Arabidopsis thaliana: one gene and its partners. The protein of the gene in region 1 interacts with the protein of each later gene in a pairwise test. Each region holds a gene or a part of one and is shown on either strand. Other genes may lie near its edges. The genes, in order: PCNA1, ATXR6, ATXR5 and POLH.

The links.
Region 2: the proteins of PCNA1 (region 1) and ATXR6 interact in a two-hybrid assay, tested with the Arabidopsis thaliana proteins (one study listed by BioGRID).
Region 3: the proteins of PCNA1 (region 1) and ATXR5 interact in a two-hybrid assay, tested with the Arabidopsis thaliana proteins (one study listed by BioGRID).
Region 4: the proteins of PCNA1 (region 1) and POLH interact in a two-hybrid assay, tested with the Arabidopsis thaliana proteins (one study listed by BioGRID).

What each region holds. Positions count from the first base shown.
Region 1 is NC_003070.9:2,261,315-2,265,107, forward strand, and holds PCNA1 (proliferating cellular nuclear antigen 1), read left to right. Parts: upstream 1-1,722; 5' UTR 1,723-1,889; coding exon 1,890-2,208; intron 2,209-2,400; coding exon 2,401-2,553; intron 2,554-2,636; coding exon 2,637-2,734; intron 2,735-2,846; coding exon 2,847-3,068; 3' UTR 3,069-3,239; downstream 3,240-3,793. Other genes in the region: MAC5A (CCCH-type zinc fingerfamily protein with RNA-binding domain-containing protein), read right to left, coding at 1-94, 426-649, 771-1,040, 1,377-1,481; AT1G07380 (Neutral/alkaline non-lysosomal ceramidase), read right to left, coding at 3,515-3,774. UniProt on the Arabidopsis thaliana protein: This protein is an auxiliary protein of DNA polymerase delta and is involved in the control of eukaryotic DNA replication by increasing the polymerase's processibility during elongation of the leading strand.
Region 2 is NC_003076.8:8,294,587-8,298,748, reverse strand, and holds ATXR6 (TRITHORAX-RELATED PROTEIN 6), read left to right. Parts: upstream 1-1,589; 5' UTR 1,590-1,751; coding exon 1,752-2,010; intron 2,011-2,231; coding exon 2,232-2,315; intron 2,316-2,384; coding exon 2,385-2,614; intron 2,615-2,759; coding exon 2,760-2,860; intron 2,861-2,974; coding exon 2,975-3,190; intron 3,191-3,344; coding exon 3,345-3,504; 3' UTR 3,505-3,639; downstream 3,640-4,162. Other genes in the region: AT5G24340 (3'-5' exonuclease domain-containing protein), read right to left, coding at 14-553, 639-770, 1,053-1,421. UniProt on the Arabidopsis thaliana protein: Histone methyltransferase that specifically monomethylates 'Lys-27' of histone H3 (H3K27me1). Has higher activity on nucleosomes containing H3.1 than H3.3. Involved in the formation of constitutive heterochromatin and the silencing of heterochromatic elements.
Region 3 is NC_003076.8:3,038,479-3,043,015, reverse strand, and holds ATXR5 (TRITHORAX-RELATED PROTEIN 5), read left to right. Parts: upstream 1-1,854; 5' UTR 1,855-2,045; coding exon 2,046-2,400; intron 2,401-2,500; coding exon 2,501-2,581; intron 2,582-2,845; coding exon 2,846-3,075; intron 3,076-3,170; coding exon 3,171-3,271; intron 3,272-3,357; coding exon 3,358-3,570; intron 3,571-3,652; coding exon 3,653-3,812; 3' UTR 3,813-4,036; downstream 4,037-4,537. Other genes in the region: AT5G09780 (Transcriptional factor B3 family protein), read left to right, coding at 4,532-4,537. UniProt on the Arabidopsis thaliana protein: Histone methyltransferase that specifically monomethylates 'Lys-27' of histone H3 (H3K27me1). Has much higher activity on nucleosomes containing H3.1 than H3.3.
Region 4 is NC_003076.8:18,047,199-18,053,782, reverse strand, and holds POLH (Y-family DNA polymerase H), read left to right. Parts: upstream 1-1,886; 5' UTR 1,887-2,003; coding exon 2,004-2,079; exon of another isoform or gene 2,080-2,360; coding exon 2,361-2,481; intron 2,482-2,571; coding exon 2,572-2,683; intron 2,684-2,777; coding exon 2,778-2,948; intron 2,949-3,032; coding exon 3,033-3,197; intron 3,198-3,271; coding exon 3,272-3,375; intron 3,376-3,612; coding exon 3,613-3,732; intron 3,733-3,932; coding exon 3,933-4,056; intron 4,057-4,249; coding exon 4,250-4,363; intron 4,364-4,444; coding exon 4,445-4,660; intron 4,661-4,762; coding exon 4,763-4,862; intron 4,863-4,953; coding exon 4,954-5,084; intron 5,085-5,338; coding exon 5,339-5,458; intron 5,459-5,535; coding exon 5,536-5,880; 3' UTR 5,881-6,050; downstream 6,051-6,584. Other genes in the region: REV1 (DNA-directed DNA polymerase), read right to left, coding at 139-215, 292-407, 594-738, 948-1,114. UniProt on the Arabidopsis thaliana protein: Error-free DNA polymerase specifically involved in DNA repair. Plays an important role in translesion synthesis (TLS), where the normal high fidelity DNA polymerases cannot proceed and DNA synthesis stalls.

The DNA of each region.
Region 1 (3,793 bases):
GTAAAGGGTTTTGATGCTTTCATCGTCTGGCGATTCCAAAGTGCCCATCTCACCAGCTTTGCCAAGCAACTTCATAGCAACTGGATCATTAACACTGAAAACGTGTAAAAGAAAATGAGAAACAGTTAAAACAAACTCTTCAACAAGAATAAATGCAAAAGTACTAATACATTACAAAGAGAACTAAAACTGGAAACGACACTATGTAACAAGACTACATGAGAGCCAACATAGCATAGTTCAGTCCAAGAATTCACATATCAGAAGCTTTCAAATATCGAGTATATTATGAATGATCAAGGAGAAAATAGTACTATGGCAGAAACATATGAAATTTTACACTCCTTAGGGGAGGTATCGAAACAACCAATAAAGAACGGAACTAAACGTCAACAAAGTCAAACATACAGAAGAAAAAAGCTTACCCATAATAACGGTCTTTTATGTTTTGCTGGGATAGCTCTCCTGTTTCGGGCATCTCATGCCGGTATGGACATTCAGCACCTCTTGTACACTCACCCCTGATGAAGAAACTACAAACATGTGCTCGGTTCCTCTTATAGTACGGTGTTGTTCTTTGAAGCTTTAAAATAGTATCATTGGGTCGCATCTTCCCGAATGAAGATTCATAATCCAGTCCAGCTCTAGCCTACATAACAGAAAAAGCAAAATCACTTAGATAAGCCACCATGAGAAAGCTAGAGTAAGTCTTCAAAATTCTCAAACCAACAAATGCTGAAATAAAATCGTGAGTGTGAACATGATCATACCTTCCTGTCATGCTCTTCAGCAAAATACTCTCTGTTGACATCACTTTTAGGGATAGAGTCATGAGTACTAATGTTGAGTGCTGTGTCTCTTACTTGAACTGGAAGACCATACTCAAGATCCAGAAGACAGACTTGACAAACATTTTTCAACTTGCAGCAAGTCTGACAAATTTCGGTTTTCTTGTATCTAGCATCCCGGCCAGGTCGCCACCTAAACACCGTGAAAGGTCGTGTACATATCTTGCATTCCTTATCATAATTCGCTTTGGTCTACATATCAACAGATAAAACGTCAATCAGAAATCAAAACATCGAGATTTTCAGAAAACAAAATTGCAGCTGAAAGCTAAGAGAATCCGCAGCTGTAATCAAATCCAACTATAACTAAACGAATTTGGATGTAAAACCCAATTTTTCGATGAATTTGATAACAAGCTAAACCCTAAAACCATATTTACTAAGTTAACCACTCCAATATACAGAAAACATCAACGAGCAAGAGACTGGTTAAGAGATGAGATCCGGAAATAAGATTCAGGAGCCATTGAAACAAAACAAGCAATAGCAAAATCCAAGAATGTTTGAGAGAAGGAATCGAGAAATCACCATTCGCACGTAGGGGTTGTCACCGAGACAAGATTCGCAGATGATTGGGAAATCGGAGCGTTCCCATCCATCGGCTTCATGATCTCTCAGTATTCTGTGAGCCATTCTCTTATCCTCTGATTCGATTAGTCGATATCAAATCTCGAACACGAAGGAGACGACGAGATTTTAACTAGGGCAAAGTCGGTTTTGGATTCGCGTGTTTTTGTCTTTTAAATATTACAAATAAAACCCTAAACTTTCACTACAATTCGAAATGAACTTTTCTTCTTTTTATTAATACAAATTAACCCTCTAACTTTTATAATGACCAAAAATATCCATCCAATTCTTAAAACGATTGAGGCCGGCACTAGCGCATTGGCGGGAACCAAATAGCTTAGAATGGCGAAATCCCGCCAGAAAAGAAAAAGCTTATAAATCGGACTCCTTGACCTTATAGTGTCAATCCACTTTCCAAAATAGCCGCAAACGATTCTCATTGTGAACTCTGATAATATCTAAGACGACGAAATGTTGGAGCTACGTCTTGTTCAGGGCTCGTTGTTGAAGAAGGTTCTAGAATCAATCAAAGATCTGGTGAACGATGCGAATTTCGACTGCTCCAGCACTGGGTTCTCACTCCAAGCTATGGATTCGAGTCACGTTGCTCTGGTGTCTCTCTTGCTAAGATCCGAAGGCTTCGAACACTACAGATGCGACAGGAATCTCTCCATGGGGATGAATCTCGGCAACATGTCGAAGATGCTCAAATGCGCCGGAAATGATGACATCATCACCATCAAGGCTGATGACGGCGGCGACACCGTTACCTTCATGTTTGAGAGCCCCAGTAAGTTTATTTGCTAATTGACTGACTTACTCTAATTTCTGGTTTCTATGGGTTAAGCTTGTACGAAATGGTGGAATGATTGATGGAATAGAATGATTTAGTTCTCTTAGGGGTTGTATATAGTTTCAAGTTTCAAAAACTTGGTTTAGACCTAGCTGCTTTTAACTTGGTTTTGTGTTGGATGATTTACAGCGCAAGACAAGATTGCTGATTTTGAGATGAAGTTGATGGATATAGACAGTGAACATCTGGGAATACCTGATGCTGAGTACCACTCAATCGTGAGGATGCCTTCCAATGAGTTTTCCAGGATTTGCAAAGATCTCAGTAGCATTGGTGACACAGGTACATTGCTGCATTGTTTCTATTCTCAATCTGGGTTGTTTTTTTTAGTCTAAATAGAGATTGACCTGATGTTATTGTTGCAGTTGTGATCTCTGTGACTAAAGAAGGCGTGAAGTTTTCTACTGCCGGTGACATTGGAACCGCTAACATTGTGCTCAGGCAGAACACAACTGTAGACAAGGTATTAACATGTCTAACTCTTTGCATAAACCTATGATACTGTTGACAAATCCTCTACGGCTGTTTCATTGGAGTAACATGTTAAATTGAGGCTTTTGTTTTGTGTATTGCAGCCGGAAGATGCAATTGTGATAGAGATGAAGGAGCCAGTGTCTCTCTCATTTGCCCTGAGGTACATGAATTCCTTCACAAAGGCAACTCCATTGTCAGACACAGTGACAATCAGCTTATCGTCGGAGTTGCCAGTGGTTGTGGAGTATAAGGTTGCTGAGATGGGTTACATTCGTTACTACTTGGCTCCTAAGATTGAAGAAGAAGAAGACACTAATCCCTAAGACCCCTTTTATATCCACAATTTCTCTTCATTCTAAAATGTTGAAGATTTATTGACAATGTTGGTGTTTTTTTTTGGTGAGATTCCTTTGTATCCCCCCTCTAGAATCAGTTGTTTTCTTGACTTATTATGTTTTATGATAACAAAGTTCAGCAAAATTAGTTGTCTTGAAACTATGACCATTCATCAACAAACTAACTCCACTTTGCAAGATAATTTATACACTAACACAACCGTAGTTGCCTATACCTGGATACTTAAACTGTATGTGAACATTGACATGAAAAGGTATATTGGATTCCATTAGACTTCTCAACATCAGTTCTTTGACACCATTCTGTACTCTCTGGCTACATTTGTGTAGTACATGCAAGTGCACAAGACAGTGCATCAGGTAAACCTAGTATAATACAAGTTTACTATGTATCTACTTTGGTTTCTACTTGTTTATGTTACAACGAAAGCACTAGAAGAGCCTGTGAAATGATGGACTGACCCAAAAAGCTTCTTTGCAGCACCAAAATGGGTGATCCTATAAACCCCTGGTGATGCAGACTCGGGAATTCTCCATTCCACAGTGGCCTGACTCCGGGAGCTCAGCTTTTTATGCCTCGACCACTTGAACCTCAGACATAGATCATCGTCGTCATAAACCGGGGTCCAAGTCTTGTCCTTCTGCTCTAGTCTCTCCACCAGTGTAAACGTCCCTGTCATGAACATAGTATC
Region 2 (4,162 bases), on another chromosome or scaffold:
TTGATTCAAATACCATCACATCCAATAGAAATTTAGGGCAGCCATCACCGCCTAAAGATGAGTCCCATGGCGGTGGACCTTGCCAGTCCGCAGAACAGACCAACTGCTTATTTGTGTTCATAGTGCTTGAGGCGACACGTCTTCTTGTTTTCTTCTTAAGTTTCTTTGGTAGAAGATCAGACTCCTTCAACAGGATCCGTTCTCCAAACTTCCTGACAATCTTCAACAAATTCTCATCCATTGGCATCGTGTTTAGTGTCGTTTTTCTTGGAACCACTCCATTGGCTATGTTTTGACCATTTTCCGACATTGATCTGATTACATCTGTAGCCTTGCAAAGTTTGACTGTGACAATCTTACTGCTATAGTCCGATTCAGTCAGAATTTCTTGTAAGCCAACATTTATCACTCTAAGATCTTGCACTGTGATTCCTTCAACAAGATGCGCCTCAAATACATCGAATATCTGGAGCAGGCAGTGAGCATCTGTGGCAGCGTATAGTTTCTGTTCTTCTGTAAGAGGACGATATGACCAATCACTACATTGAAGTTCCTAAAGAATAAAAACCTGTTAAGAAAAGCCTTATTAACAGTACGTTTCACGAAAAGTCAAATTCTTGCAGGAATCATTGACAAACCTTTGAGAGAGAGATGTCCAGCATTTCCTTACATATAGCAGCCAAGCTCTTGATATCCTTTGGCGCCTTTCTCCCAAACCGCTTATGTTGCAGATAATTGTATATGCTTGTAATATCCAAGTATTGTTTCACCTATTCACATCAACAATCACAAACATAGAGTTTTAAAGCAACATAACCTAAAAAGGCAAATAAAAGAAAAACACAATTCAACAATCTACTTTCAACAGAAGTCAATAAACACACAAATCAATACTTACCTATCTATAAACACCACACGTGATCCAAACACAAGAACTTTAAGTACAAGAGAATATAACAGAGCTAAAGGTTAAAACTTTGATAAGAATTCGACTACAATTAGCTTAAACTAACACTACGAAGCAAAGTTCAAGACTTTCAAAAGCAAATCACCTCTTGGAATCCACCTTCACATCCATGTTGAGTAAATGTCGAAGACAAGTAAACCAAATCCTGTTTAAACCGAAACCCTAGTTTCAGAACATCCGGCGACACGAACATATCATTCAACAGCTCCCAAACCGATGGAAGATGAATCGAACTCAAATCAATGAGGAAGACATCGGAGACATCCGTGGCGTGACTGAGTCGGCATGCGACTTGGAGGAGAGTGACGGTCGGAAACGACGACGTATTGGAGTGTTGTGGCTTCCATTCGGCGTCTAAGGCGATGATCGTAGAACGAGTGAAAGACCATTTCAGGTGAGTGAACTCGGACGAGTCGGTGGATGAAACTAGATAGATCTTTAGATTGGTCTCCATCGTTCAAAGAGCAAAATCAATTTAGTTGAAAGTTACATTGAAGGAGAGTCTTATGTCGGTTTTGGTTTGTCCGGTGGGATAATCAAATTGAACCGAACCGAACAACCAAAATATATGAACCGATCTAATCCTAATTTCTCAAAATCGGTTAGATAAAACCAAAATAAACCAGTCTGCAAATCGGGAAACCGTAACAGTGGCGCCAAATTAAAATTCCCCGGGAAAATCCGGTGAATCCAGAGCGCGAACTCTTCTACTCAACCTCGGCTAGATCTCACATTTATAATCTCTCACTCTCTCTCTTTCTCTGGTAAATCAATAAGTGTAAGAATGGTGGCTGTGAGGCGAAGGAGAACACAAGCGTCAAACCCTAGATCCGAACCACCGCAACACATGTCGGATCATGATTCCGATTCCGATTGGGATACAGTCTGCGAAGAATGCAGTTCCGGTAAACAACCAGCAAAGCTGCTTCTTTGCGACAAATGCGATAAAGGGTTTCATCTTTTCTGTCTCAGACCGATCCTCGTTTCAGTTCCCAAAGGCTCTTGGTTCTGCCCTTCTTGTTCCAAACATCAGATCCCTAAATGTAAGCTTTTTCACTATACCCACATGACTCTAATTTCAAAGCTTCCTTCTTTTGATTAGGATATGTTTATTGTTGAGCTTTAGATTTTAGGATTCTTCTGGGTTTCTTGATCTCTGTCTTTGATTTGATTTTGCGAATTTGATTCAGATTTAACACTACTAGATCAGGTTTTGGATTACACTGTTGCTGAATTACTAATGAAAAGTTTTGTAAATCTGCAGCTTTCCCTCTTATTCAGACTAAAATTATAGATTTCTTCCGGATTAAGCGGTCTCCAGATTCATCTCAAATCTCAAGTTCTTCAGGTATGTAATTTTGCAGATTAGAAATCTAAATCCCTAGAAATATTAATCTGAATAGTGAAATGTTTGCAGATAGTATTGGGAAGAAACGGAAAAAGACTAGCTTGGTGATGTCAAAGAAGAAGAGAAGGCTTCTTCCATACAATCCTAGCAATGATCCTCAAAGGAGGCTAGAGCAAATGGCGTCTCTGGCCACTGCGTTGAGAGCTTCCAACACCAAGTTCAGCAATGAGCTTACTTATGTATCTGGAAAGGCTCCAAGATCTGCAAACCAAGCTGCTTTTGAGAAAGGAGGCATGCAGGTATCTATCTTAAGTTGATATGTATTGCTCTTGTTCTTCAGTCACATCTATATGATTGGTTTGGTGATTCTTAGGTTTCTTGAAAGCATTCATTGTTGGGTTAAGTATCAACAGAAAAGTTGATTTTGTATTTAATTTCATACAGGTTCTATCTAAAGAAGGCGTAGAGACCTTAGCCTTGTGCAAGAAAATGATGGACCTCGGTGAATGCCCGCCACTTATGGTCGTCTTCGATCCTTATGAAGGGTACTTAACATTCTTATTAGCTTCTCTTTTGACCTTTATAACCAAGAAGAGAGTAGGAAAATGCATTTATCAATGTATAATTATATTGAAGTCTAATTTTTTCTATCTGAACAGGTTCACAGTAGAGGCGGACAGGTTTATAAAAGACTGGACAATTATCACAGAGTATGTTGGAGATGTTGATTATCTGAGCAATAGAGAAGATGACTATGATGGAGACAGTATGATGACTCTACTTCATGCCTCTGATCCTTCGCAATGTCTCGTAATTTGCCCTGACAGACGCAGTAACATCGCCCGGTTCATCAGTGGCATCAACAATCACTCACCGTGAGTTTCTCTTCTCTTCTATTTGGTTCCTTAAAGTCGACTCTCTGGTCACAACACCTGAGCTCCATGTTTTGGTCCTGCTTCTGAATTAGTTGGAACCATTCTAGTATTGCTTGTCCTCATTGTGTATTTGTTGACATTTTGTGAATTGCAGAGAAGGGAGGAAGAAGCAGAACCTGAAGTGTGTGAGGTTCAACATCAACGGAGAAGCTAGGGTTCTTCTCGTAGCTAATAGAGACATATCGAAAGGGGAAAGATTGTATTATGATTACAACGGATATGAACATGAGTATCCAACTGAACATTTTGTATAACCCTGTGAATTTCGTAAGAAAGGTCAACCTATTAAAAAGGTTGCTTGTTCATCAAGAAACAACCTAAAAGTGTTTTTTGTCCTTCCTAATGCTTTAACTGGGCTTTTAGACCATGAACCAAAGCCTTACTTCAAGTTGGATCAAAATGTGAAGCCTTGTCGGAATAATTGATGTTCTATTTGTAAAAAATACACTAGAAATGGGAATTGAATTGAAGAAAATAAAGATTGTTGGTAAGGAAAAGAGAGAGTAGGAATAATGAATGAAATAGAATGGTCCAAAGAGCCTAAAGACTAAAGGAGTCTGACAGTACCTTCAAGCGACTATGAGAGTTTGCATCAAAAAAACCATTCCTTTGTGATTCCTTCAGATCACTGTGGGACATAAACTTCCTTTTGGATCCCACACTTACCATTTTTCATCTTTTTTTGCATTCTCCAACAAATTTATTCAATTTTAATGCATCGTACATACCTAAGAGACAATTTGATAAATATCTCGACATTGATTTATTGAACATTTTATCTTTCATCTTTTAGCTCTCCATCAGGATATTATAAATTTGGCTACGGGAGCGGACATATCATATTAAAATTGATTACTAAGTATCAATTTGACGTAGGAAGCATAGATAAACCTTGGATCTCTTAACATACGC
Region 3 (4,537 bases), on another chromosome or scaffold:
GGCCAATGCCATTAGAACTTTGAGAATAAATTGCAATGTTCTTTAGTACTAGTATCATTGCAATGTTGATACTCTAAACCAGAATTTTATGTTTGGACTTGGCAAAATCGTATTAAAAGTAAAGCTATCAATATGCTCTATCAAGGGAGATGTTGTCTTTGTATCTAAAACAAACTGAATCTTGATTGATTGAGCAGTCAAAAACAAAATTGGATTTAAAAGATTACAAGAAGTGGATTTGGCATTTGGAGGAACGTTAGGATAAGGAAGGAGGTCTTTGGTGAGTTGCAATTTCTTGTCAACATCAACCTTAGTACCAATTTCCACTTTCATTACTTGAAGAAATTCACTTTCCGACAGAACAGCCTCACTTGTTCGACTTCTCTAAGATTCCCTCTACACCCGTATAACTCCAACACCTTCAACGTATTTCCATCAATGCTATACCCACAAGTACTTACACACTGAAAACCCTGAAACAACGGATAGAAAAGAAAAGAACACACAGTAAGTGAAACTCCGAGATTAAATTTATAATTGAGAAAGAGAAAAAGAGATCATATTATACATACAAACCTTGAGGATCAAAGTTTCTAGATTGGGAGAGCTTTTTATCAGAGTCCAAAGAACTTTCCAACCTTTTTTCGTCTTAGACTCAAACGATAGTTTAACAAGGTTTTTAAACAAGGGAAATTCATTACTACGCCAATAATCGAAGCAATGACGCATCATCTACAACACACAAGCAAACTGGTCATGAATGAAACACAAACAAATTGGTCAAGCATGAATGTAACAAGATACATGGAGAAGAGAGAGACATCATACTTTAACGGTAGTAGAAGCAAGGTCAAGAATGTTTTTCATATTCCTCATATTCATAGGGACAAAACTCATAAGGCATAGAAAGATCGATGCGGGCTTCTCGAAGGGAATCCATTGTGATGGACCAGTAATAGTCTTATTTCTTTGATTTTTTTGGAATACTATGACTTAAACAGTATTAGTATAAGCAAAACTTACATGGCGAGCATATATGAATATCTTGAAGCATCCACCGATGCAAGACTTAAGTTTTCATCCTTGTGAAGAAGTGCAACAACCTTAATAAAGGACTTAGCCACAAAATTACCTAGCATACACCCCGGTTCAGAAAATATGATAAGAAAGTTTTGCTCTCATCGTCAAGAATATATCAAACAACCATTTCACTTGTTCCAATTATGTATATTATTCTTTATAGTCTATACCATAACTATTTCATTAACGCTAACACCGCAATTTCTTATTAATTAAAAACCTTGAAAAAAATAGAGAAAACTATTCATATATAAAATTATAAGATAAAAATTTACAATTGAAAGATATTATATATGTATATAAAATTATGAAAATCAATATGGCGAAAAATTCTTAAATCGGAAACAGAAAATTATGTTAAACCATAAGACATAATTTATTAAATTTTGTATTTTATAGATTCAGATTTATGTAATATTACATTGTTGGTCAAACCAGAACACTTTGGTTTAGCTTGTCAAATAAAGAACTTGAGCCTCCAATGAGGCGGACCGACTGTTGGGCTTGGCGTTGGGGTGGCTCAGTTGACGAAATTGACGTTTACTGTGTTTGTATTGAGCCCACCAACATATATTTTTTTTCAATTGAAAGATATCTATTTTTGTAATTACGTTTGTATAGTATAGTTAATACTGTATTAATTTTTATATCAATCCCTAGTAAATTAAATAAGTAAAATTTAGTTAAGAAATTTAGTAACAATTAAAAGGCTTTAATGGTTGTAAATTTATTAGTATCACTTACAATGTTTAAACCTTTTAAGACATACCAGTAATTTTGAATTTGTCAAAGGTCAAAAAAACAAAAGAGCCGATAAAGAAGAGTCTCAAAGGAAGAATCCCAAATTACACTCCAGGTGATGCGCACATCAGTTTTCGTGCGCACACGCGGCGGTGCACATTAGCCCCAACCAATCAAAATCATATATCCCGTTCTCCGGCGACTCTTCGTCGTGAGCTTCCGTCATGGCCACATGGAACGCATCCTCCCCTGCGGCGTCTCCTTGCTCATCGAGGCGACGAACGAAAGCTCCAGCGAGACGCCCTTCCTCCGAATCTCCACCACCGAGGAAGATGAAATCAATGGCTGAGATAATGGCGAAATCTGTCCCTGTGGTTGAACAAGAAGAAGAAGAAGACGAAGACAGCTACAGTAACGTCACCTGCGAGAAATGTGGTTCTGGAGAAGGAGACGATGAGCTTCTTCTCTGTGACAAATGCGATAGAGGCTTTCACATGAAATGCCTTAGACCCATTGTTGTTCGTGTCCCCATTGGAACTTGGCTTTGTGTCGATTGTTCCGACCAACGACCTGTAAGAAGTATGGATTTTTTGTTTCTTCGCTTTTAAATTTCCTAATTTTCTTGTGTTCTTTGTTTAATAAAAAAATGGATTTTTCTCTTGTCCGGTGAAATGTTTAGGGTTATCTCAGAAGAAGATTTTACATTTCTTTCGGATTGAGAAGCATACTCATCAAACAGACAAATTGGAATTGAGTCAAGGTGCGATTTTTGTTTTTGGATTTCATGATATGATCATAAAGTTCTTGAGTTGATGAATCTGACGAGATGTTTCACTTGATTAAATAGTTAGATGAATATGAAATAGCTTAACTTTGGCCTATTATATGCTTGAAATTTTGTTGCACCTTATGTAGGGTTAATAAGCATTGATGAGAACTTATACATATCATATACATAGATCATAGATGCTTCAGGATTAAACTAATAACAAGTGTTTGAGATTGAGATTTCTTTGTTTTGAAGAAGAAACTAGAAAGCGGAGACGATCTTGCTCTTTGACAGTGAAGAAAAGAAGGAGAAAACTCTTACCTTTGGTTCCATCAGAAGATCCTGATCAGAGGCTTGCACAAATGGGAACACTTGCTTCTGCATTAACGGCATTGGGTATCAAATACAGCGATGGTTTAAATTATGTTCCCGGAATGGCTCCTCGGTCTGCAAATCAATCCAAGTTAGAGAAAGGTGGGATGCAGGTAATAAACAAAAACAATCTTTCAGCCATTTATCCATAACTCTCTTATTTTAAGTTACTTCCTTGATTGTTTATCTCGGTTTTTACTTTTCGCAGGTGCTATGCAAAGAAGATTTAGAGACATTGGAACAATGTCAATCTATGTATAGACGAGGAGAATGCCCTCCTCTCGTTGTGGTATTTGATCCGCTTGAAGGGTATCTCTCTCTATTCCTTCGATCAACCTTCCCATAATGACAAAGTGGAGTTGTAAACATGTTCTTTGGTTATTCCGTTTGTACAGTTACACAGTTGAAGCAGATGGTCCTATTAAGGACTTAACATTCATAGCTGAATATACAGGGGATGTTGATTACTTGAAAAACCGAGAAAAAGACGATTGTGACAGCATCATGACTCTCCTTTTATCAGAAGATCCTTCAAAGACTCTTGTTATCTGTCCAGACAAGTTTGGAAACATATCTCGCTTCATTAATGGCATTAACAATCACAATCCGTAAGCAACAAATTCAAAATTGTTTTCCCCCCACTAAACTGGTTTATAACATTGAATCATCACATCACACTGATTGTTGCAGGGTTGCTAAGAAGAAGCAGAACTGCAAATGCGTGAGGTATAGCATAAACGGCGAATGTCGAGTTCTTCTAGTGGCTACACGCGATATATCGAAAGGGGAAAGGCTCTATTATGACTACAATGGTTATGAACATGAGTATCCTACTCATCACTTCCTCTGATCTTTCAATTCTAACAGTTCTACAGAGTCTCTAGATCAGATGTTCTTTTTGTTGCCATATTACAGGTCAATTATAAATGTAGGGCTGCTGAATATATGGCCTTTAATTATGAAGTTAGCGGTAGAATAATTGGATTTGGAATGACATTACAGAGATTAAGATGTGGCAAATGTCAATTGCTGAACTTTTGTTTGATATCAAATGAAATCCTAACCTTTTTCTTATATGTTCTTGGAGACAACTTCACCACCTTAAGTGGTTGCCAAATAAGTTATAATTTCTTTTATACTCTTCTTCATAAATTTATCAAAATGAAGAACTAATCCAATACAGTCATTACCTAAACAGAAAAGTATAATTACAGTACTTGCCTAGTGTCGTACTTCTTATTTCCAGTCACCGAAATGTATTAACGCCAAAAGAGATTCATCTGTTATGCATAATAATCGCATGCTATGAATTAAATGAACACATCCAAAAAGGATGAAGTCACAATTGTACTACAGTTTCAGTATTGAGAGGAAAGCTTTTTTCACTTTGACCACTTTGATTGAATCATATCTTTGAAATTTTAAGTGGTGCTTTGCTACATATTCAACGGCTCAACAAGACAGAGAGAAAAATATTACGAGAGGAGATAGAGAGTGAGAGAGACGAGCAAGTTGAAGGAGCAAAACTTGTAGGTGAGAGCTTGAATCAGAACATTTCAAAGGAGAGAGATGGCA
Region 4 (6,584 bases), on another chromosome or scaffold:
TGAATCAGATGATTAAATAGATTGTGTGCAAGATAAATGAATGCATACGAAGTTGACAGTAGACAATGATCAAATCCAAACATTTATACTTATGTCTACATGATTTAACTGAAACTAAATCATCTTGTATAGACTTACAGCCCAGAAGTCTGTTGGCAGAGATAGAGTCCACTATCCATGTAGGTTTCACAACAGGTAATCCTCTGCTGAATGTCCTGATTGGAAACAAAAATCCATTATAAGACACGAACTTGCAAGAAATTAGCGAAGAATTTTAAAGAAACAACTAACCTAAGATTCTTGACTTTACTATCTGGAAGGTTGCTGCAAATGATATGTGTAACAGAACGCCTAGAAAAGTAGTTCTCAAATCTTCCACCATACTTCATCATGTATCCTTTCAACTCCTACACAGATCTAGACACTGTTAAATCACATATAACCCACCAGCAAAACTGCACTACAACAAATTCTAAGGTTTATTCACCTGCAACAGTTTGTACGATATAAGAGTTAAGCCATTTCAAATCAGGAAAGAACTAGAAACCAACAAAATTGAAAATGGGTAGAAACCAAAGCAATAGAGCTTAAACCTGATGAGAAGGAATAGTGAACCCATCCACAAAGATTGAAACCCCTTGGAAAATAAGTTTCTCAGAACCCGAAACACCACGAGAAGCAGCAGAAGCCTCAGTCTCAAATTGGTTCTGAAGTTTCCTATTTTTCACTTCCATGTAACTAACATCAAAAACATAAAAAAAATAATCAACAACCACGATAGTATAACAATGCTTAACGCATCTTACTTCATTCTAACTTCATAAAATTTCCAAAATTCAATCTTTCTCAGAACATCACTTTTCAGAGGGAAAGTTTCAACTTTTACATGGGAATTTCAAAATCTAACCACTACCCAACACTAAAATGGCAGAGAATGATAGAAAGACCTTCCGAAATCGGAGAAAGGAGAAGACCGGAAAGAAGAACGAGAAGAAGCAGCGCCCCATGCCGCGCCTAGGGTTTTCTGATTGCTCGGATTATTATTCTTCTTAGACTTCTTGTTACTTCCACTGCCACTATTGTTTGAAGAATTTGAACCCAAGCTACGCTTCATTGTTGTTGTTGGGGAGGAATCTCAACGAGACGGAGAAGAAGAAGCATTCAACGAAATTTTCCAATTTGTAAAGTCACAACCTGTGAGTGGTTTATATACTAAAACACAAACATTTTCAGATTAGTACTTAAACTTGTATATACTTCCAAAAATCCCCATAAGTTTTAATTTTTACAGTTATAATTTAATACCTAATTTTTTTATTTTATTTTTGTAATCATAAACATAATTGAGAGAAAATTGTTTTTCTTGAATCCAAATCTTTAGTTAGTGAAGATTATCTAGCCAAATTTAATGAGCAATAAAAATCGACATTTCACAATAATAGTGAAATTAATAATAGTAGTGAACAAATAGTAATGGATGAAAAAAACATGACCCATATTATTTTTATGATTGTTTTATATAAATAAAAATAAACTCAATAAAAATTTTATGTAATGAATAAATATTAAATATTTTATCTATACTTTTTGTTTATCTACCGAACGATCAACCATAATTCGAAAGATGCAGCTTGATGTCCATAATTTTGTTACCACACTAAATCTCTAAAAACAACAATGTCAATCTTCAACCTATTTTTACAAATAATTTGACACGGCAAATTTGGAGAAATATTTAGGGTTTGAGATCATTACAATGAATTTCATGTTTTGTTGTCAAATTACTTGTGTTCTAAACGGGTTATTTTGCAAAGTTTAGTTTCTTTGAGGGTTCGTTTTGAAACTTTCTCATTTTATTAATCTGTCTCGCTTTTTCTCCTAATTATTATTTTCGCGCGCTATTCATCAGTCATCATCCCCAAGAAACCCCTCTTTCGGTGGTAAAAACTCTCTCTCTCTCTCTCTCTCTCCCTCTGATTTCTGCGGAGATTTCTGAAATAGAAATGCCGGTAGCGAGACCGGAAGCATCGGATGCTAGAGTTATCGCTCATGTCGACATGGATTGCTTCTACGTTCAAGGTCCTTCTCTCTCTAACCCGAATTGTATTCAGCCACTAGACGCTTTAGTGAGAGAAAGCAAAGCTTTTTAACACTTTTTTTGAACTTTTTAGCTTTGTTGGAATTTTGGGTTTCAATCGAATTTTAATAACGGTTTCTTTTCTTTTTTTTTCTCGTTGGCGTTTGTTTTAGGGATTTGGGAAATTACCAAATACCAAAAAGTGTGCTTTTTTGTTTCTATTTTATCAAAATGTCTCCTTTACTTACCTGGTTAAGGGATTTTTTTATGAGTGAGTGATTAGTGGAGCAGAGGAAGCAACCGGAGTTGCGAGGACTGCCTAGTGCAGTTGTACAGTACAATGAATGGCAAGGTGGTGGTTTGATTGCTGTTAGTTACGAAGCACGTAAATGTGGCGTAAAGCGGTTAGTGTGTAATTACAGAAATGCTTCTTTCCCCCAATTGTATCAATCTTTTGAGGATAGGGAAAAATTGTGTTTTGGGTTAATGTTCAGGTCGATGAGAGGTGATGAGGCTAAAGCTGCTTGTCCTCAGATTCAATTGGTTCAAGTTCCTGTGGCTCGTGGTAAAGCTGACCTTAATTTATATCGCAGTGCCGGTTCTGAGGTTGATGGAAGTGGAAGTTATTATTATACTGTTTGTGTTTGTCTAAACAATGACATTTGCTAAATTCATCTCATTCTATGTGTTGTCGCTGCAGGTGGTTTCGATTCTAGCAAAAAGCGGAAAATGTGAGAGGGCTTCGATTGATGAAGTGTATCTTGACCTCACTGATGCAGCAGAAAGCATGCTTGCTGATGCACCTCCAGAGAGTTTGGAATTGATAGATGAGGAAGTTCTTAAATCCCATATTCTTGGAATGAACAGAGAGGTCTGTTTTGGTGTCTTTTAGTCTCCAACAAAAGTATAGTCGATAGTCAATATTATGATCTGAATTTATTTATTTTACTTTCAGGATGGAGATGATTTCAAGGAGAGTGTCCGCAATTGGATTTGTCGAGAAGATGCTGATCGACGTGATAAGTTATTAAGTTGTGGAATTATCATTGTTGCAGAACTCCGGAAACAGGTGCTTAAGGAGACTGAGTTTACTTGTTCTGCTGGCATAGCCCATAACAAGGCAAGAAGCTATTTTATTTTGTTTTCCTTTTATCGCTTGTATGGCGAGTAATAACATATAACTTCAACAAGCAGATGCTAGCCAAACTTGCTAGTGGAATGAACAAACCTGCGCAGCAGACAGTTGTACCATATGCAGCTGTACAGGAATTACTAAGTTCCTTGCCAATAAAGAAAATGTAAGTAAGTTTCAATAGTGTATTGATCACAACACATATTTTCGTAGGAGAACTTTTAGTATTTGTCACATTCTACGGAATACACTTAAATATTTGCGTCAGTATCAACACAGCTGTGTTTTATAAGATGTAAGACAGTCCAAAGTTGTGTATTGCATCTTTTATCGCTGTCCCAGGATCATAAAATTTTCAGTTAGTGCTGGTAATCATTGAGCTCTAATTAGACATAACGTGCAGGAAACAACTGGGAGGAAAGCTGGGCACTAGCTTGCAAACTGACTTGGGAGTTGACACAGTAGGGGACTTGCTGCAATTTTCTGAAACGAAGCTACAAGAACATTACGGAGTAAATACTGGGTAATAGCTTTGGAAAAGATAGAATTTTTGTTGTCCTGGACTCGTAGGCTATTGTAGATTGTTCATTATTTGATTAGTACCTTCTAGCATACTAAATTCCCAATAGTTGCTTATTTGCTTGATAATAGAAATTTAAAGACATGCAACTCGTGCTTGTTTGTCTATTAATACGTTTTTCTGATTTTTCCCCCGACTTGTAGTACTTGGTTATGGAATATAGCAAGAGGGATCAGTGGAGAAGAAGTGCAAGGTCGCCTTCTCCCCAAAAGTCATGGTTCTGGAAAGACATTTCCCGGACCTCGTGCTTTGAAGTCACTCTCAACTGTAAGAGTAGAATCTCAACAATGCACTTCTTTTCCCTTTGCTATCAGTTGCTCTAGTTGATAGGTCATAACTGAAAGTGCTTATAGAGGTGAAACGTTTTGGAAAAATAGTAGCAAAAGTATCCCCTTTTTATCTTCAATCATATCATAGAACTAGTTTTTAGAATAAGTGTTGTGTTCTCTTATATTTCTAGGTTCAGCATTGGCTGAATCAGCTTTCCGAGGAACTAAGCGAGCGCCTCGGTTCTGACTTGGAGCAGAATAAGCGGATTGCAAGCACCCTTACCCTTCATGCTAGCGCTTTCAGAGTACCTACTTCTCTTGTTATATATCATTTTTCTCTGCGAAGACTACGACTTAAAACATATTTTTCCTGAAAAATATTGCAGTCAAAGGATTCAGATTCTCATAAGAAATTTCCTTCAAAATCATGTCCTATGAGATATGGAGTAACCAAGATCCAAGAAGATGCCTTTAACTTGTTCCAAGCTGCCTTACGTGAGTACATGGGATCCTTCGGGATCAAACCTCAAGGAAATAAGCTAGAGACATGGAGGATAACAGGTCTTTCTGTTTCAGCGAGTAAAATTGTTGATATACCATCTGTAAGTTCTTAGAGCCATTAAATGTCTTCTACTTACTTATCTCTTTCAAACATTGGTTGGTTTCTTCACTGATTTGGTAGGAGTGATATCTTATTACTGTAGGGAACAAGCTCGATCATGAGATATTTTCAAAGTCAACCTACTGTTCCTTCTCGTTCAGCAGATGGTTGTGTTCAAGGAAATGTAGCGATGACTGCTTCAGGTATTCTAGAGTATTTCTGTATATTTTCAGAACTTTCTACTTCTCTTGATTCTGGTACTTAATGTCGTGATCTAATCTGCAACTGGTGCAGCTAGCGAAGGATGTTCAGAACAGAGGTCAACAGAAACTCAAGCAGCAATGCCTGAAGTAGACACCGGTGTAACTTATACTTTGCCTAATTTTGAAAACCAAGATAAAGACATTGATCTAGTCTCCGAAAAGGTATCAGCTCTCATTTCCCTTTACTCTAAAGCATATTTTAGGCCTTTCTTAGAGGTGTGATCTAGCAAAAAGGCTAAACATATTTAGGCTCAATTACGTTCTCAGTTTCAACTTTCAAAGGAGCTTCTTTAGTAATTATAACTGGTAACGAAGTGATTGGTTAGGCCCTGTAGTGTTTGAATGACTCAAGAGCTTATATATATGTTCTTAAATTGTGTATCCTTGAAGAACCAATTCCACACATTCCTTGTCAGGATGTTGTCTCTTGTCCATCAAACGAAGCAACGGATGTTTCTACCCAATCAGAATCAAACAAAGGCACACAGACAAAGAAAATTGGGCGGAAGATGAACAACTCGAAAGAAAAGAATCGGGTACGCAATATATTGCTTTGTTTGGTGCACGAAAAGCTTCTACCTTTACTGAGATTTGTTTGCTTGTTTGTTCTCAGGGAATGCCTTCAATTGTCGATATCTTTAAGAATTACAATGCAACACCTCCATCAAAACAAGAGACTCAAGAAGATTCCACAGTGTCATCAGCCAGTAAAAGAGCAAAGTTAAGTAGCAGCAGCCATAATAGTCAAGTGAATCAAGAGGTAGAAGAGAGTAGAGAAACAGATTGGGGATATAAGACTGATGAAATCGATCAGTCAGTTTTCGATGAATTACCGGTTGAGATTCAACGAGAACTCAGGAGTTTCCTACGCACCAATAAGCAGTTTAACACCGGTAAAAGCAAAGGTGATGGTTCTACTTCAAGCATTGCTCATTATTTTCCACCATTGAATAGATAGATCTAAGCTCCTTTGTCTCTGTTGTTGACTGTATATAGTGTAGTCCTTGTCTACCTTAGATTTGGTCTTGTATCTTGAGTACTACAGATATATTATGCTTAAATCCTATTAAAAATGTCATTTTTGAGCAATAGAAAAACTAAATATATATATATCGTCTTTAAAATCCATCGAGACCTCTTGTTTTTTATGGTATGCACAGTGATAGAAGGGTTTTTTTTTTTTTTTGGTAAACATGTGAAGAAGTGATAGAAGGTTTATCAGAAGTTTGTATATCTTTGCTCAACCACGGAATCTCATGAAATATTCAAACATCCTACCTAATTGCTCTAGTTTCTCTAGTATGAGTTCTTTTTGGATCAATTCTATATCAAACGATTACATTTTATTTTCAAAAGTCAAATCAATCGAAATGTTAATTACAACTTCGCCTAAATATGACTTTTTTCTTAACTAACTTATTTTTCATCCTACTTTCTAGAATAGAATTCTCTAATATTAATTGACCTAACATAAGTTTTTTTTTTGGTAAGGAGGATTTTTTTTTTTGGTAAGGTTGAACTACCATAAGTTTGTTTGCTATCAAAACATTTTTACTTCATTTTGAGCGTAAAAACGGTAAAAAAGAAAACACAAAATTCGAAAACCTGAAACCGTTTTTGGGGTTAGGACAATACTGCAGGCCACTGTCATGCCATCCAATG